Lepisosteus oculatus: one gene and its partners. The protein of the gene in region 2 interacts with the protein of the main gene of each other region in a pairwise test. Links are inferred from orthologs where the notes say so. Each region holds a gene or a part of one and is shown on either strand. Other genes may lie near its edges.

Region 1 (8,186 bases), on a different chromosome or scaffold from region 2:
CAAGAAACTGGTTGAGATCCTTGGATCGATTAGTTATTGATTATCATATGAGCTAGAGAGGCCCAATGGCCTCCTCTCATTTCCTAGGTTTTCCTTGAGTTCTTATGTCAGGGGTTTTCAGCCTTTTCTGGTTGGGGGACACTTTTTCAATAAATCCCTTCTTGTAAGGAACCCAAATTTATGCATAAGCAACTGTTTGCCAAAATGGTGCTATTTGTTACTATGATTTAAAAGCCAAACCTGCTGGTGAACAGACCCACTGTGTAAGGTTTTACACACTACTAGACTGCCTGGGGAAAACCTCTGATTCCTGGAACCCCTTTGCCACACTCGGAGGATCTTTAAGGGCTGCTTTATGTTCTGGATTGGGTAACAATCATATTCACACATTCGTTTTATTTGTGGGAAGGAATTCTAAAGTCACTTCCTACCTCTGGCGTTGTACTTTTCTTCTTTAAGTTGATGTATTGCTCCAGGTCGGTTCCCTTGGCTCTGTGCTTGGAAGAGTCAAACACCTTCCGGCGGGAATTCTGCATTTTCTCACAGACTCTACGGTGTTTCTCCAATCTTTCTGCTGCAAATGTCCTGTTGCAGAGCGTGCAGGGCAACAGCTGCGAGTTCCCTTCCTGATTGTACGTCGGTCTCTGCTCCGCCTGGGGTGCTTCTTCGACAGAGAGTGGAAAACGTCTTGGTGATAAGTCTCCGCTCCCCTGAGGCAGCCTTTCTTCAGCACAATTTCCATTGCTCATTTCATAGCTTGCTTGTGGAATGCGGCTGTCCAGAGGAATTGGTTCGGCATGCTTCCCTCGATTCCTGACGTGTGTTTCATATCTGTAGGGCACATCCTGTGACTGGCCGGCGTTAGAGGCCTTTTCATGTTTCTTGAAGTGTGATGGAGCAGAACTTGAGTGATTGAGCAGAGATTGAGTGTGAAGCTCTGTGTTATTTTCAATAAGAGGCAGGACTTGAGTTTTTCTTCTTGCATCGACCGGTTGCTTGTCCTGAACTGAGTGTCTTGAGGAACTATAGGGCTCTGCAGGCACACCCCTGCCACTGGCACTGCCCAGGTGCCCTTTTGGAGCACCATCGTGCTGTCTCTCCTGAGCTCTCCTTTGCTGGGCCATTTTTCCTCTCTCCTCCCACTCCTCCTCTTCGTCAGAATCTTCCATCTCTATCTGAATCCTCCTCAGCTCTTCCTCGGTCCTTTTCAGTTTTGCCCTGAGCAGGAGCTCCTTCCTCCTTATCTCTTCCGCCAGGTTGGCCTCTACCTCTGCTAGTCTTCGTTGTTCCCCTTGCAGCCAGTGGAGACCACTTAAATTCACCCTGGAGGAGTTTTCATCTGGGGAGTGGGCCACATCTAGAGGGGATGTCTTATCCCTGGGGATTCGTGCTCTAGGGTGTCTCCTGTCCACTTGCAAATGACTCCCTTCTGGGTGATCTGCAGGCAGAGAAGGAGCCACTGGGATATTCCTCGGTGCTCCTATAGGCTTCACAGCCTCAACATCACCTGGACTGAAGATGTGATTGAGACTGAAGGCTTTCCTGTGGTACACAGGCTTCAGTGGGCAGGACCTATCCACCCCAGCTGTCTTCTTTCCAGGGGCAACGTGATGGAGATGGCCATTTCTGGGCAGATTCCCAGCAGATCTATGTTCCCTGTGCAGGCCAGTTCCACCCCTGTTGTTCGCCATGGTTTGCAATGCAGACTGCTGGTCGTGCTGGGAACCAATCCTGGCTTTCTGCAGCACGGCCTGCTGTTGCTGCCGGTACAGAGCGATCAGCTTCTTCTCCTTCTCCTCCCCAAGTTTCTGCTGGAAGTTGCTCTGCAGCAGCTGTAACTTGGACGGGTGCAGAGCTGGGTTCCGTCCACCGGGCCTCAGGGGTGGAAGTTTATCGGTTTGCATCTTTTTACCGAGGAAGGGGGAGCTCGAGGTCTAAGATGTGGTACCATTTGCAGAGGAGACAGGCAGGTTATTTTCTTCCAAGTGTCTGATTGGGAGTGAAATGTAATGATATTAATGTATACCTACAGTGAATACAGGAAAAGGCCTATTCTTGAAAAAACCACATACACAAAAAAAAATTATATTACATATTAAACATTTTCTTCACCTCAAACAACAATACATGCATCATACTTTTAAGAAACTATAAAAATGAGGTAGCTGTCCTTCTGGCAGAAGAACCATTTGTGTTACAATGTAATTATCCTGTTTGCAGATTCTCCTAAAGACTATAAAACGACTAAATGTTGCACACTGAGTTTTAAGCTTAAAACGCAGGCTGGATGCAACGCAAGCATTATGCCCGTTATTTTCAACTGGAAATCTATATTCAGTTTTGATCATAAATCACCCCCGTGGCCAATGAAATTCGTTTGTATTTATTTCCCAGCATCCCCGAGTGAGACGTGACACTGGTCGTTCATTCAACATTTCTTCGGCTGCAGACGTGGAAGAGGAAAAAACAACATATATTTCTGGGCAAAACCTTATAAATAATTCAGAAGTCACTGTATATGACACATTATATATTTACTTACACGACAGTCCAAAAAAACGTGCTAGTTCATCATAATTTACTCACCAAAAAACTTTCTTTGGTTTTGTCGACAGATTTCTGCTCTAATCCTTCGTCAGAGCTCTGGGGAGTTTGTCACGATCTGGCGTCCTTTGAAAAGCATGAATAAACACTTGCGTGGCAGGGTTTTCTTTCTCTCCTTAACTTTTTGGGTTTGTTCACTGGTATCTTAAACCTGCAGTTAAAACTGTTATAGAAAGCCGACTTTAAACAGCGCTTTTTACAAAAAAAAAGTAGGAGAAAATCCCCCCTCGTATGGTTTTATGAAACTTTACAGTCTCCCCTTGAAATACAGTCACCAAGCCTGCAAAGGCACAGAGAGTGACGAGTTTTTCCCCGAGCTAAAGTGATGCCCTTCACAACATCACCCCCAGCGTCACAGTAGGCGAGCCCTTTGTCCTCGCAGGTCGGTCATCAGAGGGTATTCTCCGGTAAGAGTTTAACAATAGGGTTTGTTGGCATGCGTTGCCTGGAAACCGGGAGACGCCACGGGGTTCCTTGGCATCGTAACATTCAGTTGTCAAGGGGCTCTGTTTGTGATTGGGCGCAGACAAACCACGTGGAAAGTCATCCGGAAGTTGTGAGATGCCCCGGATGTACCGGTCTGGATTAAGCCCTTCGTTTTGAAAGAGATGCGCTATACATACACACATTTGTCGTATGGGTGTTTTTAATACTGGTTAGTGATATTTTAATGTGTGTGCGTGATTTGTCTTTCGTGGTTGCTATTTATCGTAATGTGAGTATATGATGTTTCGTCTCCAATGTGCAGGGATAGCTCGGGCAAATCATGAGGCTATATCTAATGTTTAATTATGTTGGATAATAGATTGAGACATATGATGAATATGCTAGCGTTTAGTTGATCTGGGATGAAGACGAAGCTTCGGATATAATGCCCCTAATGAGCTCTGCCCCCTGATATTTAAGAGCGATATAGAATTCAAACATCCTTTTAGTTTTGAAAAAACAAGTTTGTTTTTTTTTTATTTCGAACGCAAAATGCAAAATAAAAGTTGATCTGGAAAGACTTCAGTCCACGCTGAAATATTTAAAATGTACTTCTACTGTTCCTGACGCTGTGTTTTTACATTATTTTGTCTAGGTCTCTGCCATGTCCGGTAAAGAAGATCTGATTTCAGTGGATTATGAAATCTATGGCAGAGTGCAGGGTGTTTTTTTCCGAAAGTACACTCAGGTAGAGCCCTTTCCTTTATTTGTGTGTGTTTATTTATGACTAATACCAGCTTCTCAATTATAGAACATCTAGTTAAATTCGGCGATCGGAAACTCGGATTTCATTCGCCCACCCAACACAGGAAAATGAAAATGAGGCTTGAGGCAGCACAGGCATGATTGTCCTGGGAATGTAAAGCCCTTTAAGGATGGGTGTGACGGTGGCAATGCAGTTAACAGTGCTGCCCCACACTTCCTGAGCCCTCGGCTTGCTTCCTGCCCAGTATGCCTGTGCCCGGTTTGCATGTTCTGCCCATTGCTGGGTTTTCACCCTGGGACTCCTGTTTCCCCCCACAGTACAGATTTATCTATCCTGTCCAGATTTTTTGGAGTATGGAAATCATCCTCCGAGTTTGTGTGTATACACATACCTCCTGCTCAGGACTGGCAGCTTGTCTAGGATGTATCTGGTCTTGACCTCATTGGCTGTTCTCCAGCCCTGTCTTGGATGAAGACATTGAAAATGCGTGGACAGCTATCATTCAGTTGTGCTTCCCTATGTGGCAGTACAGTATATACTTCCTATTGGGCACTCTTAGTGAGTTGCCATAGCAACCACAGAACAGCCGTCTGCTATAAATGTGCATGTGAGATTGCAATCTCTTTGTATGCATGCTATACATATATGTTGTGTTTTGCTGTTGCTTCTCGATGACTATCATTTAAATATTTTGTGGCACATGTGGGCATTGTGTAGTGTTTGTGCCGAGCTGAGAAATTAACAGTACCCAAGTCAAAGTACAGAATGTGTACAGGATAGAACCACTCTCTTTCCCAGTTAATGAAGTAATCAGTCGCTGAGAATTAGGTATGGAACCTGGAGCTGGGTTCGACAGCCCTGGGTCTCCGTGCGCGCACAATCTCAGATCAGCCGGTCCGGTAGCAGGAGTGTGCTGTATTTCTGTGTGGCTGCCCTTCCCCCAGGCTGAGGGCAAGAGGCTGGGCTTGACAGGCTGGGTGCAGAACACCAGGGAAGGGACAGTGAGAGGCCAGCTCCAGGGACCCGGCAGCAGGGTGCGAGAGATGCAGGAGTGGCTGAGGAAGAAAGGCAGCCCCAAGTCCCAGATCGCCAAGGCGGAGTTCTCCAACGAGAAGAAAGTGGAGAGTCTGGATCACAAGGATTTCAGGATCGTCCGGCCCTAACCTCCCAAATGTGATGTGTTTTTCTGTTTTCTTTTTTATTATTATTTAAAAAAAAGGCATAAACATCTTCCTAGAATCAAGATGTTTGGTCATTTGGTTTCAAGATGTCACTGTGTTGGAATGCTTTTTTGTAAATGTACTGCAGATAACATCAGTGAAGGCTTAAACTGCTAAATACGCATACCGTCTCCAAATCTGAATCTTGTACATAAGTGCTTGAGGATGTTTTGAACATTCTACGTTCCCTCTGTGTGTTTATTAAATCCCTATTTATTTTGAAGAACCATTTGTGTACTGTTTAATTTTGTTAATATAGTTACTGAGAGGGCAGCTTAATGACGGTACTTTGTAAAAAATACGCTAGCCCTATGTTTATTTTTGAGATGTAATCATCAACTCAACAATTGGTCAATAAAATATGCATCATTACAAAATTGAGTCTTTCGAGATATTTCTCAATACGTTTATGTCCGAAACGTCAAAAACTGTTCAAATATGTTATATTATGAATTTTATTTTGGTAAGGTAAACCGTACATAAGAAATGGATACCGATAATTAAAAAAAAACCCTGAGACTCGAAATTTGTATTTCTTGCGGTAGGGGCAGCAAAGAGCTGAACACAAACGCTCGGGCCCGGATGCGGATGTGAAGACATACAAACAATACCACGCAGGATGGATTAGGATTGCTCTTGCTCTGTGAATGTTAGAAATTAGAGTGAAATTAGAGATGGCCTGCATTTCACTGTCCACGAATGCTGCTTTTAATTCGCGCATCACCATAGTAACCGGAAGCCATGGAAACGGACACTTTGGAAGGACATTCAGCTAGAAAAAAGTCAGTGTAAATTATTTTTTTAAATATGAAGAAGAACAAAGTTGAAATACGGTCTTGTCGATGTCACGGCTGAATGTCGTTTCCCCTAAGATAATTATAGCACCGTTTTTCTTCCCCCTCTTTCAAAAGTAGAGTAGTAGTTTTGAATGGTTGGATAATAGGTTTTAGCGTGCGTTTTGTCCAGCACCGTAGTGCGTAGTTTTGTTTATCAAACTCGTCAGAATGTTATTTTTTAACTTTTTTTTTAAACCGTCATTGTTAAAAGAATAGTTCCCAACATGATAAGAGGGTTGAAGCTGTCAGTCTGCGATTGTTCCCGGCGGCAGCCGGGAATCTCAAATTATAGTAGATGGCGACAGTAGAAACTGTTATGAAACGGCACCCTTGATGTAGAATGTAAAATTTATTAGACCGGGAGTTAAGTAAAATGTGTTGGAAGTATTTATTTGCAGAAAAGTCCCATTAGGACGGAGCTCCGAATTCCTCTTAAATGTGCAGAAATGTCTGACGGGCCTAGGAGCGCTTGCTGAGATAATTTTTACAGCAAAGAGGCGGTTTAGGTTTCCGATAGCGTCAGAACTATGATTAGACGTTTGTCCGAGGACGTGCAGGCGAAGCTTCGCTCTGGGATAGCCATTTTCTCACTGACGCAGTGTGTGGAGGAGCTCCTGCTCAACAGCATCGACGCTGGGGCCAGCTGCGTGGCTGTGAGAGTGGACATTGAGGCGGGAAAAGTGCAGGTTCTGGACAATGGCTCTGGGATGGACAGGCAAGACCTGGAGCAGGTGGGCAACAGGTACTTCACCAGCAAGTGCGGCTCTCTGGATGATCTGGAAGCCCTGCGGTTTTACGGATTCCGAGGGGAGGCACTGGCAAGCATAGCCGGCTTAGCCACCCTGCTGGAGGTCTCGTCAAGGACCCCAGAGTCCGTGAAGACCTTCGTGAAAGTGTTCAAGAACGGGAGGGGCTTAGATGTGTCCGAGGCAGCAACCACCCGGCCCGCAGCCGGCACGACGGTGGTGGCCTGCGACGTCTTCCACAATCTGCCCGTGAGGAGGAAAAGGCTCGACCCGGTTCTGGAATGCGAGCGGATCAGGCAGAGGATCGAAGCAGTCTCCCTCATGCACCCCTCCGTCTCCTTCTCTCTGAGAAATGACTCCACCGGATGCACGGTGCTCCAGCTCTCCAAGTCGCGGGCCACGTACTATAGGTTCACCCAGATTCACGGACTGGGCAGAGCTCAGAAGCTTGGGGAGATCAGTCATTGCCACAACCAGTTTGAAATGAGTGGCCACATAGGGCGTGAGGGTCACTACAACAACAGCATGCAGTTTCTCTACGTAAACAGCAGACTAGTCTTGAGAACGCGGATTCATAAACTCCTAAATTTCTTACTAAAGAAGGTGAGAGTTGCCAGCAGGCAGAACAGCATCCCCGTTGTGTCCATCGCTGTGCACAGTCCAAAGCAGAGGGGTGGTTCAGAGCTCCATGGGGTTTATGTCATTAATATTAAGTGCCATTATTCAGAGTACGATGTGTGCATGGAGCCTGCAAAAACACTCATTGAGTTTCGGGACTGGGATGGTGTGTTGCTCTGCGTGGAAGAAGGAGTCAAAAAGTTCCTGGTGAAGGAGAACTTGGTGGCTGAGGTGTCTCCTGAGGACATGAGTGAATTTGTCCATGAGAACACCTTCAATGACCCATCGGCCTGGGCCGACAGTACTGAAGGAGGGCCTGGCGCTGGCAGTCTTAAACCCGCTTCAAGCTGTACTAGGGACCCAGGTGAGGGGAAGACTCTGCAGTCTAAAGATGTGCACAGAGCATTGGCAGTGGATTTCAATCTGACAGGAAGTGTCTGGCAGGCAGGAGATGAAGATGACACAGCAGGTCAAGGTGAAACAGAAATTAGGAACCCCGAATCCACATGCCCCCCAGAAAGTGAAAAAACACTTGCTTCCCCTGACTCACACAAAGTCACCTCCTCAAGTTCAGAAAGCAAAGAAATCAAAATCACTGAAATGCTTGGCTCTGCATCAGTGACACCTAACACACCGACAGAAGCCAGAAGAGATGATGAATCTTTGACGGACGTTTCTGACAGGGACTTGAAGGAAGAGTGCAGTGGTGTAGCACAGCTGGGGCTTTCTGTCTCTCTGTGCTCCAATAGCAAAAGAGCAAAACTCAGTGTAAATACAAAAACAGCAAAGGAACCTGAGAATCACTGCCTTAACTTGATAGACAATCGCAAAGAACCTGAGAAAAACACAGAAAGTGTCATTTCCAGGGATGTGCCCCCTGAAATGCCTCCCAAATTCCAAGAAGAAACACCATTTGACAGAAGTAGCCTGGGACATAAAACAGAAAGAGCAAATGATTCTAGATCAGTGC
Region 2 (7,665 bases):
AAATAAAAACATTTAATTGCCCCTGATTAGAGATGTATGACTACTCACTTTCTCCCAAGGCACGTCTCCAGGACTCTCCCATCCAAATGTTTTTTCCACCTTGAGGAATTACCAGAGTGACTAGATCTGAGGCAACGACTGTAGCACCCTGAAAAATCCTTGGTTTGTAGGATTTGTGTGAAAATAATAATGAGACTTCATCGTATGTTGTGTGTGTGGAGGCAGGGCTTTAAAAAACAAATTAGTGGAGTGTTAAAGAAGTCCCTCTTATTTAACTTCAATTAACAAGAGGATTAATTTCAGTTTGTTTGCTGTCTTTGTCCTCTCCTTCTTTAAAAAAAACAGAACACAACAAAACAAAGAAATACAATAAAAAGTAGCGTCTCTTGGTCTCTGTACAGAGTAGCACTAGTGGGCTGTTTGGTCAGACTGACAAAGAGCTTTCTCATTGGTCACTGAGTGGGGGGCTTGCCAGTTTGTCACAAAGCCAGGCGCGAACTGGATGTTAACAACTGGTTGATTCAAAGCAAGCGGGGCTCTGCTTTTCATAAAAAAAACGTAGGTGTGAGGAACCAACTTTACAACCATGTTGTAGTCAACGATGTTTGGATCTACTGGAAGAAACTGAGCCATCTTCTTTTATTCCCAGGTGTCCTAACATTCAAGCCCACGGAGATCGGTTTTCTGCTCTTATACAGCTAGTGCATGAAGACAAGTCCCATTAGTTCATTGTAGACCCTGATCAACTCTTTCTATTAAATGACACCACGTCGTTACTGATACTAGGAAGAGCACTTCTACAGGTGCCGTATTAGCCTTTTTAAAAGGAGAATGTTCTGCACAATTACACCCATATCTGATCCATCTTTTAAAATGTTTTCTCAGGGGTAAGATTCGGGTAACCATGCCTGTGACACTGTGTGCTGACTTTGATCCCTGACCTCCCTGCTGACCTTGAGTGACAGGCTGTGGAAAATATCCGGTTAAATCAGCCAGCAATCTATAAACCTACTGGAAGCAATTAGACAAGAACAGCTCCATGATCAAGAAATTTCATGAAACATGAAAATTCACTGCCATGAATCTAAGTCCAGTTCAAAGCAGGAATTGTGCAGACAGTAATATTAGTTTTATTATCAGTATATATTAGAGCAGGGAGCTATGTCTGGATGGCTCCACAGCTCAAATGTGTATTTTATTTATTTTTACTGTAAGTGTGAAATCCTGAATTCACACATCAATAACATAGTTTTCCGCACTGTTTATCATGGCAAATAGATACATAATTGTTAACAGCAAAAGAATTGGCAAATGTATAACATTCCCATGTTTCCTGAAAGCCATTCTTTCTTGGATAAGTGTCTTAAACTGAACAGGCTATGAGGGACAGGGTTTGAGGAGAAGCATAAATTGGAAGGTTGTCTCCATTTTTTTATCCCACTCTTTTATGGGAACTTTCTCATTACAAAAAGGAGGCCTAGTAGTCTATGGAAGAGAAAGCAGTCATGCAGTTCAATTTGATAGGGGCCTGAGGATTAATAACCCCCATTAAGACAGTGTGGGCCCCCCTGAACTCCATGCCTTCACAGGGACAGACTACATCGCTCACGCACAGCAAGATGAACAATACCTCTTTCTCCCTTCACCCATGCCTCTTCTTTCTTCCTATGCAAGGGGAAGGAAAAGCTCGTTCCCCTGTAATGAGAGCTGTGGCATTATTAAAAAACCCTTATAAAAGCTTTTCCAGGAGGTCTGTCCTTGGAGTGTTTACAGACAGGGGGCTGGAGGCTCGGTTCAGGGCTGTTCCGGCAGCTCATGGCTGGTCAGACGTTCCCAGAGGAGCTGCTAGGGTGAGCTGAAGGAGAAAAGGAGAGGAGGAGGGTGGGTTACAGGAAGAGACATAAAGGGATGGCCAAGATGGAGCTGTTCAAAGTCACGTTGAATTGGAAAAGGGAAATTTAACATCATTCATACACACCTGTGTTCGGGGAGAGATCCATGGTCCACTGGTTTTGATTCAAATTAGTCTCTTCTATTCATCTATTAATTGACTCAATTAACGAGTTAATTGTTCTAAATATCCACTTTTCCGATTTAGGTACCGATATGTTCTAGAAACCTGATGGGACTGTAAGTCTTTAAAACCTGGAAAAACACTGTCCTTGATCTATGATAACTTTTTTATGATTAAAGAATCAGTTTAAGAAAGCCACTGAATGCTAGGCTTCATTTCTGCACTGAAAAGATCTTATATGTATTGTTCAGATAATTAGCTTTGGTTTCTGTGAGTAAGATTATATTTTATTATAAAAGATTATATTTTATAATTTTATTATAAAATTTTAAATTTTAAAATAAATCATCCAAAAATGCTGTCTCAGTCCCACAATCCCCAGAGAAAAACACTTTTTCGAAAAGGGCCCCAGGTTTCTATGACAACTGCTGCTAATCAATTCGAAACGGACCCCATATTTCTCTAAGACTCGAAAGTCACAGAGTCATTAAATGGATCTCCCATCTTACCCCAGTTCTTAACCCCGCCCTCCACAGCCCAGAGCTTTCTGCAAAGGATAAATCTGTCGGAGTGAATGCTGGAATTTCAGGCCCAATTCACACGAGAGGGAGGAGGTACAAAAGAGATCATTTAATGTCTTCTTACCATCCTGAATAAGTTGACCTGTAGAGTAAAACCACCCAACCAGGATATGAAGTACTACTTCTTTGTCCTTCTACTACTTGCCCAATCTATCTATCTTGTTATAGTCTCGTAAAGAAACATTTATTAAAAATTCAGCAGCTGCATCAGAATCATAAACATGTTTTTGTTCAGATGTTGTGAGACTTAATGCTCTTCAGCAGGGTCTGTAAACCGGAGGTAGGACATGGGCTGGTTTGTGATGAAGGAATTAGAATATGTGTCTCAGATCTTCAATATTGTTGCTTTTTGAATCCTGTTTGTAATGTTGATAGGTTGGCATATTGAAATTGGACAGCAAGCATAACTTTTCTTTTTCTTTTTGGTTGGAAATACAAGTTCTGCCTTTCATAAGCAATTCTTTTAAATTAATAAATAAGATATTGTAATAAATAATATTATAGTAATAGTGACACACCTGAAGAAGGCTCCACGGCCGAAACGTTGTGTTCTGTTTCTTCTTTTTTTCAGCATGGAATAAACCTATTACTTGTTCCCTTATAGTAATAATATATATTTTACAACAGGGAAGCTAATTAACTTGACAGCTGCTTTGATGTTGCTGACTTAAAAATGTACAAATCGCAGCTTTCAGAAGAACAAGAGAAAAGTAAGATTCAGGGCAGGTTTGAAAGTCTTGCGATGACCGCATTGTTCTTGTGCTCTCTCTTTCAGTGAGCACCATGGTTGAACGTCAACACAGACCCAGCGGCTCACAGCCCCTGAGCCTAGAATGGTTTTTGTAGCCTCAAGTGATCTGCGAATACAAGGGTTGCGCTCAATGGGATGGTAACCCATTGCTGTGTGACACCCGAGCAATCATTCAAGTCATTGTAAGCAGCAAGGTTGACTGGAGACAACACAATTGGTAGAAAACATTTTCAGGAGCCCCTCAACACTGTTTGTGTGCTTGGCTGATCCAGTGATAACTCCAAAGCCCAGACCATTTTATAGTGACCAGAGGTCTTTGTGTTATTTAGAGGGCCAATATGTCATATGCCAATATGACCAAGAAAGGAAGGACTCAGTTTTTACTGTCTTACAGTGCTGACAGATATATGGAGTTTTCTAACGAGTGGAAGAGAAGTTTACTGTACGCACTCATGCTCACACCAGTGCAAAGCTACTGGCAGCTGAAGTGCACAAGAGCAACACAACACTAGTGATGTCGTCGCACATCTCAGATAATTGAAAACACTGACATTTATTTAGATTGTGTCAGCTGAGGGGAAGATGAGAGGTGCTTAAAAGGTGAAAGCAATGACAGTCGAATACTGTAGTTTGATAGTCGTAATGGACACACAGAATGTCCTTTATGCTTGGTTAGTAGGCAATGTTAATTCTTAAATTAATCCTAAAGGATGTACAGTAGCTATAGCCATACTGTACTTAAAGTGAAATTGATTTTTATCTTACTTTTCTTGGCTTTGGCCTCATGCAGACAAAGGTAGATAAGTTCTATGACTAGGAAGGACATTGTAAAAGAGTGCCTACACCTTTGCCTACACCTTTTTTTTTTAAATCTTCATAAAATAAATCCTTGCAAAGTGTTTTGTAGATGGCAGTGCTTTACAAAACTGCGGCGAGAGTCCAGTGAGTGTTATTTCCAGTAAATCCCTTGGACGCAGTGTGCAGCCACACTGATTAAAACCGTTTTGAAAACCACAGTCCTGCAGCAGAGTTGTTCCCTACAGTGCACAGGAGTACTTCAGGCGCTCATTATCTTTTTTTTTCCCTCCTGAATAACATTCCAAAACTCCAGCTTGCAGAAAGCGAGAGAAAGCCAGGAGAGTTTCAAGTTCAGTAGACGAGCACAATGGCTGGCAAGTCCTAGCTGTGGTGCTCCCCCTCCCCCTGCCTCTCTCCCCCTCCTGTCTCAAGCCCTCCTGCTCAGGGTGGGGGGGCGGAGGACAGTGTCTATAAAAGCCGGAGAGGGACAGAGACCATTTCATTTGCTGACTTGTTCCATTTCCACCGAACACCATGAGCACGAACATGGAGACCCAAAGGGTGGTGGCGTCTTCTTACAGGAAGAGGTTTGGGGCGTCGGGGAGCGGTGGAAGGACATCCCTGTCCTCTGGCCGATTCGCCGTCCACAGCTCTCCCCGGCTCTCGCACTCCAATGTCACGGCGCGCCGCAGTGGAGTCGTCCTGGGCTCCTTCACGCCCGACAAGCTGGACTTCTCCCTGGACACCGTGCTCAAAGCCCAGTACAAGGAGACGCGCACCAACGAGAAGGTGGAGATGATGGAGCTCAACGACCGCTTCGCCAGCTACATCGAGAAGGTGCGCTTCCTGGAGCAGCAGAACAAGGTGCTGGTGGCCGAGCTGAACCAGCTGAGGGGCAAGGAGCCCACCCGCCTGGGCGACATCTACCAGGACGAGCTGCGCGAGCTGCGCAAGCAGGTGGACCAGCTGAGCACCACCCGCGCCAGGCTGGAGATCGAGAGGGACAACCTGGCTGAGGACCTGGCCCACCTGCAGCAGAAGTAAGCTGGAGTTTCCCCTATCAGCATTCCCAAAGCCCCGAGCGTAGTCCTTTCAGATTCCGGGGAGAGAATAACAGTACGGCGGCTCCAAGGATCGCTTTGGTGCCACAAGCAAAAGCCTAAATCTGGAGTCCAGCTACTACAAGAGATAGAATAACTGTCTCCAGTTCAGGCAGGATAATTCATTAGCCATGTCTCAAAGGGCCTTATAAATTGGCCCACAAGTATAGATCAAAAGTAGATCTATAAGTGTGTGCCAGGAATTGAAAATATACTTTAAGACATGATTTAAAAACGTACAGTATAGTCAATATCCCTTAACAATGAGCTGGTATATTGCAATGTGCAATAGAGTGTAGCCTAGGTTAAGAACAATGGGGAACTCGTAAACTATAGAATAAAGTCACCAAGGAGAACCTGTTGGATGGGTTGGAGAGCAATACTCTTTAAATCTTTTATAATGTAGTGACAGAGTTATAAAATATGTCCCAAATTTAAAATGCAAAGAATCCAGTAGAGGAGTTATGCCCCATTCAGTGCTGCTGATTTTCCTACGTGTCGTCGTGTCTGAGAGTATGCTTAGTGTCAGGCAAAACTGATGTCTCCTCTTGCTAGAGCCTGTACACGCAAAATAATTAGGAGTTTTTCAGAAAGTTTTTTTGTGCTCTCCAGGACAGGAATATTTATAACTTAAATGTTTATAAATTATTTTGCTTGTGTTCTTCAAATAAAATTCTTCTAAATCTATGCACAAAATAAAACAGCATCCTATATAGTATTATCATATGCAGTATAGATTTGAGCTGGTTTTACTAGGACATTCAGAACAGAAAGGAATTCAGAGTACAGTTTTGGAAATTGCCCTGGAAAGATGATGTCTGCTGACTAAATCTTATCCTTACAAGCCAGAGTGAACACCGAGCGTGAGAGTGTGTTTGTGTTGTGAGTGCCAGTGCCTGCATTTGTAGATGCAAAATTAGTGTGACACAGCAGGGCAGAAGAACTAGGGTGGAATTAAAAACTTTTTCAGTTTTACATCACAGATGTGGTGCTGCTGGAAATGTTTTGTGTTCAACTGACATTCAAAGCAGTTGGAATGTAGGATATTTTGATTCCACTGATTTTGGTATTCTTCATACTGAAGGCTGGTGTCCTCAAACTATTGAAAAAGGGTTTTATTGTCATCAATTAAACTGTGCTAAACTAGAGATTTCTGGTAAGATGGGGTTTGCAGATAGATATCATATTTGTGACGGTTATACAGATCTTAAAACCTTCAAACCACTGTTAGCTTATTCAGTGGTATGGATTTGCTGTCTAAAGGTGAAGTGAACTAAGGTTACCTAAACAGGGCTAGAGTCATAAATCATAGTCATTTGCGACAGTTTTCTCAAGAAAAAATAAAATTAACAACATTACCTGTGACTGTGCACCTATCAGGGATCTGAGGAGATGGAATCAGTCATGCCGCTTTTATTATATTATAATAACCTGTAAAGTTATAAATTTATCCACTTGGATCACTAAGCTGCATGAAGCCTGAAATGTACGGATTTATAGCCTTGAGTTTACTAGCAAATAAACCTGATGGCCCATTACTGTAGCTGCTTGAATTTCGCAATATGAAGTCGTTTGGAGAACAGTCGAGTGAAGGAGCCCCCTACATTTTATTATGTACATAGGCTTTTCACTGGGCCCCACAAAGAGCCTGACTGTGAATTAAATTCCTCTTTTCAGCCTTGCTTGAAGTGACAGCTGCACGAACTCTTGCATTCATGCCAGTACTTAAAGAAAAGCTTTGCTCTTGATGAGTAATAGCTGTGATGGGTTCATGCATGCTTTCCCACCATTATTAGTGAAATCCATCTCATCCTCATGTCACACAATCAGACCTGTTTAATGCACTATTATTCTTTTCCTTGTATTTATTTTTTCCCTTTGAAGTGATTAATTAATCTATATTAATTGCTCCTTTTTTACTCCCATAATGGATTGGTAGTCAGCTTGGTTCAGTTCTATAACCTGCTTTACCAATATAGAGGAGATGAAGGTAAGTCGTGTCTGTAAATGGCACTGAGAGTCCCACAGTGCAAACAGCAATGCTAAGATAAACATTTGACAAATGCACATGAAAAATAAAAGTAGTTAGCCTCTTTTTGCCAGATAAGCAAACATTTGACTGTTGTCATCCAAAGAATTCCTTTCCTTGAGGTTATTTGCACAAGGTGAGAAAAGCTCTTCTGCCATTTGTCAGTTAAACAACAGTACAGTATAGACACTATGAAGCATCTCCAGATCCCTTTCCAGCTCAACCTCCTTCCTCCAAAACACCATGGAAAACAATGGAAAACTGAGACCACAGTTCATCCCACACCTCTGCCTAATTTATGTCTGTGCCCAAAGAATGGTGCATTCTGTCAGAGACTATGCCACAAATAACATCTCTGACAATTTTATTCTTTGGGAATTGCCAACAGTGGG
Region 3 (8,236 bases), on a different chromosome or scaffold from region 2:
CTCTTCTCAGACTCAATATGCGCAGAAAAAAATACACTGAAAATTCCTGGTGGATCTCATCTTTTGTAACAGAGCCAAATAAAATGATCTGCTTTATTTATTTAAATTTAATATTTTAATGTCTTGCATCTACTTGATAGATAATGATAAGAATACTTACTCTAACAGCTTTCCACCTGAAAATCAACCTTTCCTTGTACTTCATGGTTACTGACAGAATTATCTTGTTAAAGAGTGTTTCCTTTTGAGACATACATATGACATAATGTAACAAATGCAGTAATCAGGAGTGTAACGCAGCTCCTGAGGCAGGGCCTATGGAAATGTCTAACACTTAGTGACACATTTTTAAGTGCTCACACAGAAGAGTGGGACATCATACAGCTAAAGATAAAGATAAACATCAGATAAAGATCCAATACATGCAGACAAAGAGGCACTCCAATGCCTCTGGAAATGAAGATGCTGCGATGGACCCTCGGCTGTAGAAGACTAGACCATGTCATGAATGAAGGGGCGCGATAAACACTCACTGAGAAAATGAGGGAATCGCGCCTGCGACGGTATGGACACGTGCTCTGCAGCAATGACACATCAATGGCAAAGACCGCCCTCGAATTGAATGCGGAAGGCCGCCGGCCTCATGGACAACCTTAACGCGCTGGCTGGACTGGCTGAAAGACGACATGGGCCTCGCAAAAGTCTCCTGCCGAGACGCCGCAGACCGTACGAAGTGGAAAAATCGGTGCAAACAAGCAGACCCCACATAAGTGGGAAAATGTGAGGAAGAAGAAGAAGAATACATGCAGACAAAGATTACATACTTTTGACTCACCTGGGTGACATGCGGCAGCCATCTCACACCAGCAGCCCCACTACACCGATCAGACATAGCAGTGAGAAATTGTTCAAGACTGAATTAAGAACTTTAGGTAGGCCAGACTGGACAGACCCATAGCAGAACTTAGTCAGGAACCAGGAATCAACATCCCTTCTCAAACAGCACTGTGGCACCTTTAATGGTCAAGTAGTTTTGTAACAGAGCCAAATAAATTGATCTGCTTTATTCAGGGTTTAAGGTTTAGGGTCTCATTCAGAAAATAACACCTCCTGCAGCATGGTGGAGGACTCCATACTGCAGCATTGATCAAGAAACTTTGGAAAGGGAAGAGCACCACCTACTGGTCCACCAACCAAGCTACTGCTGTGAATGCTGTTTTCTCATTTTATACGGACCAGACCAAGACCTGTATTCTGAGATCTGTTGAGATAAGGTAACTCGGCCCAACTATAAAAGGTAATTTAATTAAAAAGCCACTCGCCAAGAAACGTGGTAATTTACCTTAACAAATACCGTATTTTCCAATAAGGTTTATTTAAAAAAAACGATTTTTCTTATTAAATTGATTGTTTCTTTGTTACCACCAAATCAGACATGTGGTCAAACGTCAGAAAGGTTCAGGCAATTCACCTTGTCATTCAAACAAGCAACAGGTCTTTGAAACTCTAGTTCTGCATATACTGTACGAACTTGCTAGCATACCTTAAATTGTTATGGTATTTGCATAACACATTAACATTCTTAAAGCTTTAATTTTCGTCCAAGAAGCTTATGTTCCTAGGCGTCTGCAAAGCACTAGGGAAAAAAAAAACCTCGCCTTTGAATTTGCACCATGCCGAATGCAAATTATTAAGTATTGATCATGATTTGAGAAGACGGGGGGAAAAGTAAAGCTCAACACGTCAGATAGAAGCAAAGGATTTCAACACACTGTTCTGAGGCATGGTTTATTCAAAAACCAAGGCTTGTTTTGCCTTTGCTTCTGAGCTACAGGCGGTGTTTGGACAAACTGCTGACGCACAAATAGGCTTCTGCGCATCTTTTCCTTCCTGCAGCGGCGCGTAATGCGTCTTATCACCAGCGTTCAGCATTTGGTTTTGGACTCTCCAGCCAAGTAATTAAAGTGACTGATGACAGCAAGGCAGTTGTGCTGATAAGGTTTATGATACTTATTTTTGTTCAGCATATGCGATACAAATTTTCATTACAAGAGCCCACGAAAGAAGGAAACCGTTCCACCTCGCATAGCGCAGTTGAACATTCCTTAAGATAAATTATCGGGTGCAATGTTGCTATACCTATTATCACGCCGTTACAATGCCTAAATAATTCAAGTTTCTATTTTTAATTTTATCTTCTGTGTAAGACTAATAACTATCCAAAACTGGCGCATACATTGATTTTAATGTAGAATAGTAATACCCTAAACTTCCTGAAGAACTAAAGGAGATGCTTTCAGTATCTGCTTCGGTGCCAAGGACAGAATAAATAATGAATTCGCTCACAATAATTTATTTAAAACGTCTGAATAGTTCCTTTCCAGAAAATATGGAAAAGAAAATTACCCTAAGAGACATGTACATAAGCTACAGACGACATCGTTCACTGCAGGTGCGATATCTCCACCTTGTGGTTTCGCTGTTATATGACGCGAGTAAAAAATCAATTTCCCTCTGCCCCGCACATACAAGAGCTAGTTATATAGTATAACGTGCCAGAGGAAATTGGTGATAAAAAGAACTAGGAACCGCTACACCAGTTTATAGTTCAGCTAATATGACTCATCAAGAACTTTGTCTGACAAGAAGTTACCAATTAAATACAGTACAACAGGCAACAGAAGTGCAGAAATGACATTACTGATAGTTGTCTTGAAATATTCCATATCCCGTTTCTTTCAAAGCATAAAATCACTTCCTCGAAACTGCATATACTCTATAATCCTTATTTGCTTACGCGTACGTGTAAAGATTTTAAGTATTTCAGTATTAACGATTATTCAGTAAATACGGCAAGAGTATTCATATTAAGCACAGATGTATAAGTTCCCACCCTTCTTGGAACACGGAGTAAGCAATCTTCACAAACAGTAATTTTCATCGAAACTCACACCTACCTTCTTCAGAATGTCTTCTCTTGCCTTCCTTTTCAACTCTTTCTTCTCATTGAGGCTGTTGGCACTTTCAAAACTACCACCGTACGCCGCCATGACGATGCCGCAAACCGAGCGGCCGGTTAATCCAAGGCCTTTTAAACGGTCGTAAATACATTACGACAGTTGAAGCCGCAACAGTACATAACGCACAGCTGCCCAGAAGTTATTATATACATAAAATGAAGTGGTCTGGGAAGAACCCTTTGAGCATTTTAAAATGGGTGTAAGGGAGTGTTCGCAGCAAAAATATGAAAGCGGTGCGGACGTTATTTTTATTTAATTTGTTTAATCTTTTTTCATAACTTGAATTTATGTTGTAATATGTACCCCTGACGATCTTTTTGTCTTGAGATGTTATATGTGCTCGTTTGTATTTTAATTTGTGTTATTCTGTTATGCATAAATTAAAAAAAACAGCTGCCCAGAAGTCAATCTACGGCAATAACTGTACAGTATTTGTTTTGTGATTACGTCATTGGATTTAGAAGGGTGCGATAGAAGGTGTAGCGAACATTGTTTTTATTATGCCAGAGGTCATTTTTTATTGCACTTGTGATTTTGGAATCTGTTCATACAATGGTCTTGGGTCAAAATGAAAAATCTGCCATATGACTTGATTATGTCATATGTGAAATTATAAACCTTTCAGGAAATGGGAGGTGGTGTGGACAGACCTCATGCAAAGGCTAAAGATCAGCTCGGATCGTTATTTAATAAAATCCGGAGTTGTTACTAGAAAGTCTAGCCATGTTAAAACAGTACAATTCATACACGTCATTGCTTCACTTTGTAATTGTGCACAAGAAGATCTGCTGTTAATATTCAAACAATCCTGGGCAGGTCTCTGTGCTGGGAAACATGCAGCCAAATATTCTAGTGCCAAAAATTTGTCCCAGCTTTTGATCAAAGGCCTATTACCCATTAATAATAACGCAGATGACTGGTGCAGTTTAGGACATAGTTTCACCTGAGACATCACAATAGTAAAAAAGAGTATAGTATACATTGCATTTTGAGATTTGTAAAATCAATAAAAAACTAAATACGAACTTACTGTAGAACAAATGTAAAAGCAATTAAGAAACTGCTGCTATGCGTCAATTCTACGTTTTCAAAGTACAGAACATATAAGTCTAGCAATGCATAGGGAAATGGTATTCAGCAAGCCATATTAAAATTGAGACATCAGAGGTAAAGATCTTAAGCAACTGCATATTAAAGCACAAATGCTAAGGTTTAAACTCATCAAGCTTTCAAAATAACACATCGAACCTCGGAGTCCGTAGTATGATATCCTTTCCAAAAATGGTGCTTCCTGATAAGTAAAAATCTTTTTGCAGAACTTTTATTTTCATTAAATAAAATACATTACATTGAATTACTTCATTGCATTTTGAATTACTCGATAACGGCCATCATAAAAATCACACTAAAATCTTTCTTTTTGGCTTCCTTAATATCACATTTAAAAAATCATTCACTTTTCTTCTCTAATATTACACACCAGTTCCCTTGATCATAGTAACTGGTCTGGATTGCAATGTTCTCCACTTCTCCACACAAGCTCTCCAACTCCTCTTCACAGAAGACGTGGTAATAGCGGTGAAAGATGGGGCAGATATCTGCAGATCCTAATGATTTTCCCACGTTTTTGTCCCTGGGAGCAGAGCTTTTCAGATGCCAGGGGACAAGCAGGTCCTGGGAATGGAACGCAGTTCTGTTGGTGTGAACGCTCAATGTTGACATGTTTTGCCGAGTCAAAGGACAATCTTTGACCTCCTTCCCAGCAGGCCTGTGGTTTGATGCCAAAGAGGTGCTGTGTCCTAGGTGGTCCGCTGTTTGCTCAGGTCTTTGCGCAGAGCCCTCTTCTTGATTCACCTTTTTCCCCTTCAAGTATTTGGACTTCTGCTTGTTATATTCCTGCTCCATTGCCCAAACATAAATAAGTGCCTTTCCCCCAGGCCTCAAAAGCCTCACAAGTTCTTTAATGGCAGCTAGTCTTCTCTCCTAAACATGAAACACAATTAGTAAGCTCAGTGAATAATTACATTTTTCTGCTCTGTTCTTTTTTAATAGCCAATACAAAGTAAGCCCAGGGGAGCCCTAGGTAGGGTAGGTACATTGCAGAATTGTTTAATGCAGAGTGAAGAGGTGGCAGTGTTCCACGCCCCAAACTCCAAAGTTCTCCCTAATACCTGTAACTGCAGTGGAGATTAGCCAGGTTGTATGGTTTTCCAGTGAGTATTCTAAAGCATTCTGTTGATTGAGTACTGAGTATTCTAAAATACTATAAGGTAACACCAAAACACTTTCGTGCTTCACAAGCCTGTCCATTTCAATGGCTTTAGAAGAAATAAACTTTAAAAACAGTGAATACCTTTTTATTAACTTTAAATACCTTTTTATGTCTATCCTTTTATTCCAGAGACTAAAGCTGAAGTTAGATGTAACTTTTCTCTTCAGAAAAGGTGTGGTTTGGGAAAAGATTAGATACAGTAGGCAAACTAAGGCTTCGACTTGTTTTCTTCTTGAACTGTACTGAATATCTCCTACCTAATGAAAAAATGCAGCCTACTGCTTTATCTGAGATCCTCACTGATCTTCAGCTGTTTTTGTAGCACTCTCCTGCTAGCCTTTTTTCATCAAGTGAAATTTCCTATGAAAAGAATAACTAGGAGAACCATCCAGAGCCGTTGTGTCCTGCCTGCTCTAGGTAAGAAGAACCATGAGTGTCTGCTGACCTTAGTGGAGAAGTGGTGAATGACGGCGATGGAGATACAGGCATCACAAATGCCACTGCGAAGAGGCACCTCAAGAGCATCTGACACCAGGACCTGGAAGCTCCTCTCTCCGCAGATATCCACCAGGTTCCTGCTGCGATCACAGCCCACCTGCGAAAACACAGGAGGGGGGCAGCGGGGCATCAACAGCAGCAAGGGCCAGGAGCCATGTCAGAAAGGGATGAGCAGACTGCACCCACCCCGACACAACCAGGGCCATCTCAGTCCCCATCCAGACAGCCAGTAGCCTTTATAAAAACCACCACAAAGGGGTTTCTCAAAAAGCAGCATCACACTGCGTCCCAGAAGATTCGGATCGGATCCTGTCTGCAGCCACCTCTGTGACTCTTGAACAAACAGTGACATCCTTTGAAGGTCGCTGAAAACACACGTAATGTGTCTGTGTTATGCAGAGTTTAAGTCAAGGGGTGTTATTGTGGGCCTTTCTCCGTGAGCATATCATCTTTTTATATTTTGTGGCAGTATTTTTTATTTTGACACGTAAAGTATCTTATTTACGTTTTCCAAATGCGTTTTGAGGTAACATTTGAAATATTTAAAAATGTGTTATCTCATGCATAATTCAACAATGCACCAGTTACAAGCAAAGAAAAAAAAACATTTTGGGGCACTATGAGGAGTGTACACCTTTAAAAGGTAAAGGCAATGACAATAGCTATCCCCACACATTATTCTGGCTAATTTTTAATAAGACATGATTTACACCAATAAATCAATATCTGCTTTACTGCTTGAAAGACACAGTAAAAGGCAAATAAAAACAGAAATTTACAGAGGATGCCATGTTTGGTGCTCAAATATAAAAAAAACTTATAATTTACGATAATATTTTCTTTTAAAAAGTGTCTTCCACAGTTAGGGGTTCTTTTGCACAAAAATAAAGCCTGCAGCTTGCAACATTATCTTATCCAAACAGACGAAAGGTCAAAATTATCATGGAAAGACAATTATGAGCTATGAGCTAGGGCTTTGTCACTTACAGAAATTGTGTTACACATTTTGTTCGACCTATCCTAAAAAAATGCTTTCCTCCATAGTTGTATAACAAATACATCAAACAGTACCGTTTTTAACAGCCAGTACATCATACTTTCCTTTCCAATACAGATTTTAATATAATATGGAATTGAATCAAAAAGCAAAGTGTTATATAATACACTTGGTTTTCTGCATATAAACATGATCTTATCTAAAAGACAGAATACTTAGGACATATTCAAAGCTGTAATCTTTCATCTGTTTATCTTTTTTTTTTAAAGATGTGTACTTCAGGAGCCCACTGTCTCCCTATACCATAAGGGGACGAGCAAGGACACTGCAAATAATTTGGATTATCAGAACGTTAATACTAATCAATGTGCAGATTGTAACTTTTATGCACTTACAAATGCTACTTTATATTCTTTTCTAAATGAAGATGATAGTCTTTCAGCTCAGCTCGATGGTTTGTTCCAAACGAAACCTCACGAAGTAGTAATATATATGCTTTGGCGACAATGAGGAGAACAGAGCTGGGTCAACAACCCGTGTAATTCACTCAAATCATACAGCTCGTTAACACAGAGTAGAGGGGCTTTCCGTAAAGTATCATTAAAACTGCAGATCTACGGACTGTCTTACCGCAAACAGGTCCTGTTTTAACCCCAGGTACTTTCCATTCCCACAGCCTACGTCTGCCAGGATGGCGCCAGTGGGCAGAGACTGGAGGAAGTCTACCACCCTGGGCCAGGGGGAGTGCCGGGTGCTGCTGAAATGGCTGGCGATCTCCTCGTACACCTTGTGTACAAACTCGTTCTCCAGGCAGGAGGCGTCGCGGTCGCTCTGAGGGACAGAGGGGCTGCTGGGATCCCCAGGAGAGCTCTGACTGTCGCAGACCGAGGGGAAGGCTGCGCAACAAGACGCCAACAAATCAAAACATTCCGCGCCGTGCTCCAGTGTCAACACCCTGACTTACAAACAGAAGTAAAAGAGTATTGTAGAACACGTGTCGTATTTACATCTCTCCTTTTTGTCATTGCCAGCAGCCATATCACCCTGCAACTCACAACTGGAAACCCACTGAAGCTAAGCAGGCATAAGCCTGGTCAGTACCTGGAGGGGAGACCTCCTGGGAAAAACTAAGGTTGCTGCTGGAAGAGGTGTTACTGGGGCCAGCAGGGGGTGTTCAACTGGCGGTCTGTGTGGGTCCTAATGCCCCAGTATAGTGACGAGGACACTATACTGTAAACAGGTGCCGTCCTTCGGATGAGACGTAAAACCGAGGTCCTGACTCTCTGGTCATTAAAAATCCCAGGGTGTTTCTCGAAAAGAGTAGGGGTGTAACCCCGGCATCCTGGCCAAATTTCCCATTGGGCCTTACCAATCAAGGCCTCCTAATAATCCCCCTATGAATTGGCTTCATTACTCTGCTCTCCTCCCCACTAATAGCTGATGTGGGGT
Region 4 (7,595 bases), on a different chromosome or scaffold from region 2:
ACACTGTGGCTTCATGACTTGGTAAATGCATGCTGATTGAGCAGTAAAACAACATAATTTGTTGGCAAAACCATGTGGATGCTGCACAGTGGTGGTGGTGGAGGGGAGTCCCCATTACCTGTAAAGCGCTTTGAGTGGAGTGTCTAGAAAAGCACTATAAAAGTGTAAGCTATTATTATTATTAATGGTGTAGAAACATCCGGGGCTCCCAAAAGCATTGAATTCTCCTTTGGTAAAGTGGAATTTACTATTGTTGGAAGGTGCTCAGGGATTGGAGTATGTCCAAAACTGAATGGAGATTAAGTCTTGGCTGAGAGTGAGATGTGCATACCAATGTGGTCACCAAGTGACATTGGCCATTTGACTTGAGAGGGAGACTCAATTTATTTGTCAAATCCTGTAATAAACTAATTGTGGGGAAATCAGGTGACCAGTGTGCTGGGATAGCAGCCCAGAACTAGAGCTTCTGCTAAGTGCTTTTCCTTTGTTTTTGTCATCCTTGTGCTGTTTTTCCATTAGAACACATCAACAAAAATGATTATTTGACTGTTGTTTCCCCAGCTGAGAAAAAAGACTGTGATTCTCCTGGAAAAGGAGACAAGTGGTAGCCACACTGCTGGAGCAGTCAACAGAACAGTACTTACAGCTTGTAAAAACTGAGATGGTGGCAATGAGCTGAATCAATTCTAATGTAGGTTCAACACACAAAACAAGAAAAGCACTTGGGCCCGACTTTATTCCAACAGCTACACTGAAATCTTGTGCCAGTCAACTTCCTCCTGTTTTTACAGATCTACCTTACAATCTCTCTCGTAAGCAGGCAAAGGTACCGCACAGTTTTAAGATGACTAGTATATTACCGGTACTTAAGAAATCCATTGTGAACTCCATCAATGACTGCAGACCAGTAGTCTTGACATCTGTCATTATGAAGGTGTTTGAGCAGCTCATAGTTTCCTGTCCAGTGCACACTTGGACCCATGTCAGTTTGCCTAAACAGCAAACAAGTCAGTGGATTGTGCAGTCTCTCGGGGCTCCATGATGTATTTCAACACCTAGCAGCACCCAGCACATATACCTGGATCCTATTTATTGATTATAGTTCTGCTTTTAACACAATCACCCTTCTTAAGCTTTTTGATAAGCTAGAAGAGATACTGTAGGTATTAACCAGACTCTGAGTTATTGGCTACTGGTGTAGGAAGCTGTTGGTGAAGCTGAAGGATACTATCTCTCAGCAAATCAACCGGAGCACAGGAGTTCCTCAAGGTTGTATCTTATCATCTCTCAGCATCTCTCATCTCTCATCTATCATCACAGCAATGAACACTTTTCACATATTCCTGTCTTTAGATCATCACACAGGGTGTTATTGTCAGATCCCATACAGATAAACTCCATAGTTCACCCTTTATATTCTAAATTATACAGGTTGACATTTTCAAGTGTATGAGGTTTGGGAAACTGACTTCTTCTGAAACATTGGCTGTATTGGGAATATCTATATCCCTGTATCTTCCTGGGAGACATGAGAAATAGGAGACATGAGAAAGTTTCCTGGGTTTGTTAGCCTTCCTCTGTAAAGTTATTTAATTTTTACCCTGATTCTGGCCTTCTTCAGCTTGAAATTATACAGTACAGCTTGAAATGATACAGCAAAGGTATACTAACTTTGAGAACAGTTAATTTCAGAAGCATATTAATATGGCTATTTTTTCCATATTTATGAAAAATCAGCCACAGTTTGTGTGGGTTATGTGATGCCAAGCTACAGTATATATTAAAGTGATATTGTGCTGGAGAGCATATGGCCAAATTAATACAACATCAGGGGTGCGCAGTTTGTTGTTTTTCTACTTTTTGGAACAAGTAACTCAGACTGTCCATCACTATTAAATCTACTCTGACAGTTCTTTTGTTAAAATTTGATATAGCTATGTGATAAATAATTATACACAGTATGAAGATAACAACTCCCAGTCTCGGCCTCAGTTACAATTTTACATTATTTTTGGTGCTCTATCAAGGTCTAAAATTAATAGGTGCTTTTATTTCTTTTTTAGTTCTATGATTCCTCTCTCACACCCTTCAGTGCATTGAGAAATGTCTCAACATGGTAGAGCTGGGTAGGCAGAGGGCTAAGCTCTGCCAAACATTCTGTTTTTTAACACCTTTGATTTACAAACACGGGTGCAGTCTTGTCACTAGACAAGACAAGACAAGATATACAGTATCTAGTTGTCCCCTTGCAGATAATGTTGTCATCCCACTTAAACTTAAATGTTTATTCTAGCATTCAACTTATATATTATAGACTAAAATTGGCCCCAGTCTTACACAACTAAATATGATTGGTATTTGCTCAAAAATGTGGTCGCAAAATTCCAGAAAACACAGGATTCCTACTATTTTCTATAACCACAAACTTTTCTTTCTCTTTTTCACTCTGGGTTGAAAAGATGTTTATTATTCTAGCAGACATTTTTAATGAGAATTCCTTCCAGATCCTGCAATCTCAATAAAAGCTACACGCTTACTCTTTCTTTTTTCTTGCATCTTCATTCTGCTATGCATGGCTCTAGTACCCCCTGCACAGTGAAGCTGTCTACACACCTAACCTATAATCTACTGGTACAAAAGAAAGGAATTGGTTTACTCTGCTTTTTCTGTAGATTTTTCATTCCAACTCTTACTAATATGGAACAAGAACTTTAATTCTTTAGATCAGGAAATTAATTGGGACATTATAAATATAGCTTTCAACATTCATCCATCCATTTTCTAACTATTTTATCTAATACAGAGTTGTGGGGTTTTGGGGGGTGCCTAACTCAAGCAACAGGCAGAAGGATTGATACAACCTGGATGGGGCCCCAGTCCATCACAGGGCACATACAGATACAGAGACTCACACACTCACACCAGGGCCAATTTTCCCAGAAGCCATCAGTATGTCTTTAGGCTGTGAGAGGGAACTAGAGCTGGAAGAAAGCTACGGAAACATGGAGAGAACATACAAACTCTACACCTACGGCATCCCAGGAATGGAACTCAGGTCCCTAGAGCTGTGAGACAGCAATGCTTAAGCACTGTGCCAGCATGAAGCCCCAGCTTTAAAAATCCTAATAATGAAATTATCGTCTTCAGGCATTGTATTTGACCCATTGTTCACCACATCTTCCCCATATGGTCCTTTGTTTATTGTCTGTCCAGAGGACATTGTAAGCACTATTTGGAAATAGTTCAGGTGGGTAGCTGCGTCAGCATGCGTAGGCTGCAAAGGAACAAGTAATAGGTTTATTCCATGCTGAAAAAAAGAAGAAAGAGAACACAACATTTCGGTCGTGGAGCCTTCTTCAGGTGTGAGAGAGACAGGGCAGTAGGCAAAGGTTACGACCACTCTAATCTCTCCGTCTGTGTTCTCAAATACAGTTTTCCGAACTCATACATCAGAAAGACCACCGAAACTAAAATTATTCTGCAGCTAGGATCACACATTCTCCCTTCTCTTAACAACAGACTACTGTTCTTTTAAATGTTCTCCATTCATTGGAAGTTTCATTTCACACCTCTCTGCACCCATTCTCACTTCACACCTCTTGATTGGCCTCTCTTTCTGTTCCCTGCTCCCGCCTCTCACTCCTCCTCCCTCCCAACCTTTGTTCTCCCGCTACTTTACCTTTGCCTACTGTTCTGTCTCTCTCACACCTGAAAAAGGCTCCACGGCCGAAACGTTGTGTTCTCTTTCTTCTTTTTTTCAGCATGGAATAAACCTATTACTTGTTCCACTATTTGGAAATGTCGAGATGTTTTGAAAAACAGTTATTGTTTTCCACATTTCTAAACAAACATACAGTATGCTTTGCTTTATAGTACTCTAGATAGTTTACAGTACTCCTTAAGTTATAGTACAATAACTTTGATCTTGTCTCTCAGAAATAAAACTTATTTGGTTGGCGGGTCACTCACCACGGTTTAAAAAAAGGACACAATGTCTTCCCTCTCCTCTTCTGGAGTCAACTTTAGTAGTTTTCTACTACTTATATCAAAGGTGATAGGGAAGACAGTACAGGCTTGGAGTGCTTTAGCTGTCGTGATTTAATTATTATTGCACAGGGCTTCTACCATGGCTGCATAACTATGAAATTGTTTATAATTACGCATTTGTTAAAAGCTGAAAACTTACATGTGCTCTATTTTATTTGTAAAGTCTTATCATACGACATTTGGAAATGTTTATTTTATAACTCAAATATACTGTATATTGTCCACTCATCTTAAAACTATGCTGCAGTATTCTGGTTATTAACCCGTACAAGGATGACAAAATACAGTAAACACCAGGGGGAGCTCACCACCCACGCTGAAACTCGAGGCTCGTTTCCTAGCAACCAGCCTGTGTACAGTAGTCGCGGGAGAGTACACGGAGACCAACACACACACACAAATTCTGTGCGAACTTCATGCAGTAAGCAGAAGTGCAAAAAATTAATAGAAACTGAGATGTACAAACTGGAACTGCCAGCGGATCGTACTCAAGCCGCTCACCTCGAGAGGAGACGAAACGCAGATGTTCAACGGCAAGATAGGATTTTCAACGCTAAAGTCAGAACGATTGGAGTAAGGGGCTCTATATGTTCTATACTAGATGTCTTGAATTTTTAACAGTTTATTTTCGCAATACGTGAATGATTGATATCCTGTAGATCAAAAATTATTCAGCACACAAAATAATGTAACGATTAGATTGAGTTTGATTTCTTATAAATGTTTTTTCTGTTTCCTTCTTAAGCTTGAATATGTATGAACAAATTTACATCTGTATTTTTAAATTACATATACTGTACATAACCCAGCGATTCCCAACATCAACCGCTTCTACCCACAAAAGGTGTAACTTTATAGTTATTTTCACACTTGTTTTCAGTGCTGTATCATTAGTGTTGCAACAACGGAAATCTACTTATTTAATGTTTTATACTTGAATATCGTTATCTAATAAACGAGATTTGTATCGTGTTATTATCACGATTTTTTATTTTCTAATTGTTCACCGTATTGTGCATTGACAACGTATTATACAGTATAATGATACATTAACTCTCCTCAGGAACATGTCTGTATCTGCTTCATCTGCTCATTTCAATGGCACTTCTAACCGCTTGTCTTTCTTATATGTTTTTACTTTGTAACCTGTGGTCCTACTGTTTCTACACCTACTGTTTCTACTTGAGATTTTACTTTCAAAGGTGCTACTGTACATAAAATAACGTTTTTTTGTAATTATTGTTATAGAGGAACATGATCAGATTTTCCCTGGTTCAGAAAAAAAAGATCTGAAGTATACTGGTTTATCACTGTTCTCACACCCTCTTTGGTAAATGGCTTTGCATACTAATCTGATCAAATCTACCTACAGATCCAGCAATTCAAAATGCATGGAGTACGCCGCGTTAAAACGCGGTAGGCGTGGCACATCGTACCGCATTTTAAATGAATTATGATAATAGTATCTAGACATTTATCAGAAATGTTTCATATTGCAGAAATGACCTTGGACTAGCACAACAATCCATCTGGATCGTCTTATATTGGTGGAGAGCATTTCGATAAAATCAGATCATTCTACTTTATTCAACGTAGAATAACTGATATTTTCTTTAATACTTAACACAATTTAGTGCCAGTCTGCCTGTGCAATGCCTTTTCTCAGTTCCTTCATTTTGAAATATCTAGGTGGATAAAGAAGCATTAGATTTCCAAGTGAAGGAAAAGAACATAAAAGAAGACAAAGAAGCTAGGATACTGAAGGCCTACGGTGAGTACAGGTTTCTGACATGACAATGTAAAAATATTAAGTCTGCAGCTGGTGTGGTGGCGCAGTGGTTAGCGTTGCTTCCTCACAGAACTGGGCCCTCTGTTCAATTCTTGGGGTGCTGCTGTCTGTGTGGAGTTTGTATGTTCTCCCCATGTACTCATGAGCTTTTGCTCTGGACATATTGGTAGGTTGATTGGCTGCTGGGGAAAATGGCCCTGGTGTGAGTGTGTGCTTGTGTGTGTCATTATGTGCCCTGCAATGGACTGGAGTCCAGTCCTGGGTGTAGCCTGTTGCTTTTCAGGTGTGGCTTCTGCTCCCCCACAGCCCTGTGTTAGGGAATATTAATGAGGACCCTATGCAGAAAAACCAGGACGAACTCCAGAGGCGTAGTTGATTTAACAGTCTGAGGTCCGAAAGCAGAAGGTAAACAAGCCGGTGCAAAAGTAAAAAATCAGAAGCGGAGCTGTAAGCCGCGAGGAAGCCGAGAGTCGAAGCCAGAACAATACTCAAAGTAGCAAAACAAAACCAAGAGACGTAGACTAACCGGGGTCAGGAAGCCAAAAACTAAGAAGTAATTAATTGGGAGAATTGAAGTAGCTCTAGCCAGGAAAAACCTGACTACTGAGCACAGGGGAGAGTATGAAGCAGCATTAAATTGGTTGGGGTAAATGGGCTAATTGGGAACCGTGCGGGAATGCGAGGTGGAATGACGAATCCTCCGGGGGCGTGGCGTAACACCCTGCATTCGAAAAAGTGGTAAACTAAGAGAACAAGAGTGCAGAAATGTGCAAAAAAAAAAAGGAATTTATAAAAAGAGGAAGTAAGAAGTCTGTAATGTTATTTTTTTATTTTTATGTGAAGGATCCCATGCCTTGTTAGGAGTTTACAATGAAGTGTTTAAGAATTGTTGGATTGTTTGGCACATTTCAGGCCAGCCAAGGTCTCTTAAATGCAGATGCACTGTAATTCATGTATCCTACACTCAAGTTTAGAAGGGAAGAGGGGTCTTGGTTTATTGCCACGACTGACCTGAGCTAACTGCCTGACTCTCTGACCATGTTTACATCTTATAAGGCAACAAACTGTTACTGACCAATCATAAAAATGTATTAGATTTTGCTCATCTTCAACAACAAAAGCCTGTTGTTCTGTTTGAAAAAGCGAGTTAGGGACGAGGTTATAACCTGTTAAATTTGCCTGTCCTCCTTTCTTTATTGCAATAAAGAAATCATGATTTGATTCAGTAGAACTGTGTGTGGTTTTCATTGTGGGTTCTAACATACAGTATGCAAGATCTTTAATACAGATCTTCAATGCTCCAGCATGCAGGGAACTTACATTTGTAAAAGCAGATATCTTGAAAAGAAAAAATGGGTGAACCTACACTCAGAGTTATTAATGCCTTTATGTTTATTCCTTAAGCCGAAGACCTCATCTGCGCTGACAAGGTGGCCTGTTTGCTGGAGCAAAGGCAGAAAACGGATGTGAGAAAGCTGTGCAGGGCCACTGATGAGTTCCGGCACAGCTATCAGAAGCCGGAGGACAGGCGGGAGTTCAATCTGAATGACCCCGAGCAGCTGAAGAAGGAAGCTGCAGGAGACGGCTCGGGCCAGAGGCTGCAGGGGCTGCTGGGAGAGGACCTGACCCAGAAGGAGAGGCGCCGCAGCCAGCAGGAGCAGTTGAGAGAGTGGTCACTGCAGCAGCAGAGGGAGTTCAAGGAGGCCAGAGAAGACCAAAGAGCAGCAGGTATATTCTGGGAAACTACTAAAAAAATGTT

Evidence for each region.
Region 1: the proteins of gfap (region 2) and zinc finger C2HC domain-containing protein 1C interact in binary tests that used the Homo sapiens proteins (3 or more experiments, as listed by UniProt). The link is inferred for Lepisosteus oculatus from reciprocal best matches to the Homo sapiens genes GFAP and ZC2HC1C.
Region 3: the proteins of gfap (region 2) and cwf19l2 interact in binary tests that used the Homo sapiens proteins (3 or more experiments, as listed by UniProt). The link is inferred for Lepisosteus oculatus from reciprocal best matches to the Homo sapiens genes GFAP and CWF19L2.
Region 4: the proteins of gfap (region 2) and ribc2 interact in a two-hybrid assay, tested with the Homo sapiens proteins (2 studies listed by BioGRID and IntAct). The two-hybrid records come from large-scale screens. The link is inferred for Lepisosteus oculatus from reciprocal best matches to the Homo sapiens genes GFAP and RIBC2.

The regions. Positions count from the first base shown.
Region 1 is NC_090703.1:8,490,338-8,498,523, forward strand, and holds the start of zinc finger C2HC domain-containing protein 1C, read right to left. Parts: upstream 3,064-8,186; 5' UTR 2,587-3,063; intron 1,990-2,586; 5' UTR 1,905-1,989; coding exon 432-1,904; intron 1-431. Other genes in the region: acyp1 (acylphosphatase-1), read left to right, coding at 3,275-3,319, 3,686-3,778, 4,741-4,959; DNA mismatch repair protein Mlh3, read left to right, coding at 6,380-8,186.
Region 2 is NC_090723.1:1,941,658-1,949,322, forward strand, and holds the start of gfap (glial fibrillary acidic protein), read left to right. Parts: upstream 1-4,566; 5' UTR 4,567-4,678; coding exon 4,679-5,184; intron 5,185-7,665.
Region 3 is NC_090700.1:10,207,759-10,215,994, reverse strand, and holds the start of cwf19l2 (CWF19-like protein 2), read right to left. Parts: upstream 3,085-8,236; 5' UTR 3,051-3,084; coding exon 2,958-3,050; intron 1-2,957. Other genes in the region: alkbh8 (alkylated DNA repair protein alkB homolog 8), read right to left, coding at 4,470-5,003, 5,738-5,887, 7,418-7,683.
Region 4 is NC_090702.1:9,010,270-9,017,864, reverse strand, and holds the start of ribc2 (RIB43A-like with coiled-coils protein 2), read left to right. Parts: upstream 1-4,401; 5' UTR 4,402-4,503; coding exon 4,504-4,620; intron 4,621-5,736; coding exon 5,737-5,818; intron 5,819-7,240; coding exon 7,241-7,564; intron 7,565-7,595. UniProt on the Homo sapiens protein: Microtubule inner protein (MIP) part of the dynein-decorated doublet microtubules (DMTs) in cilia axoneme, which is required for motile cilia beating.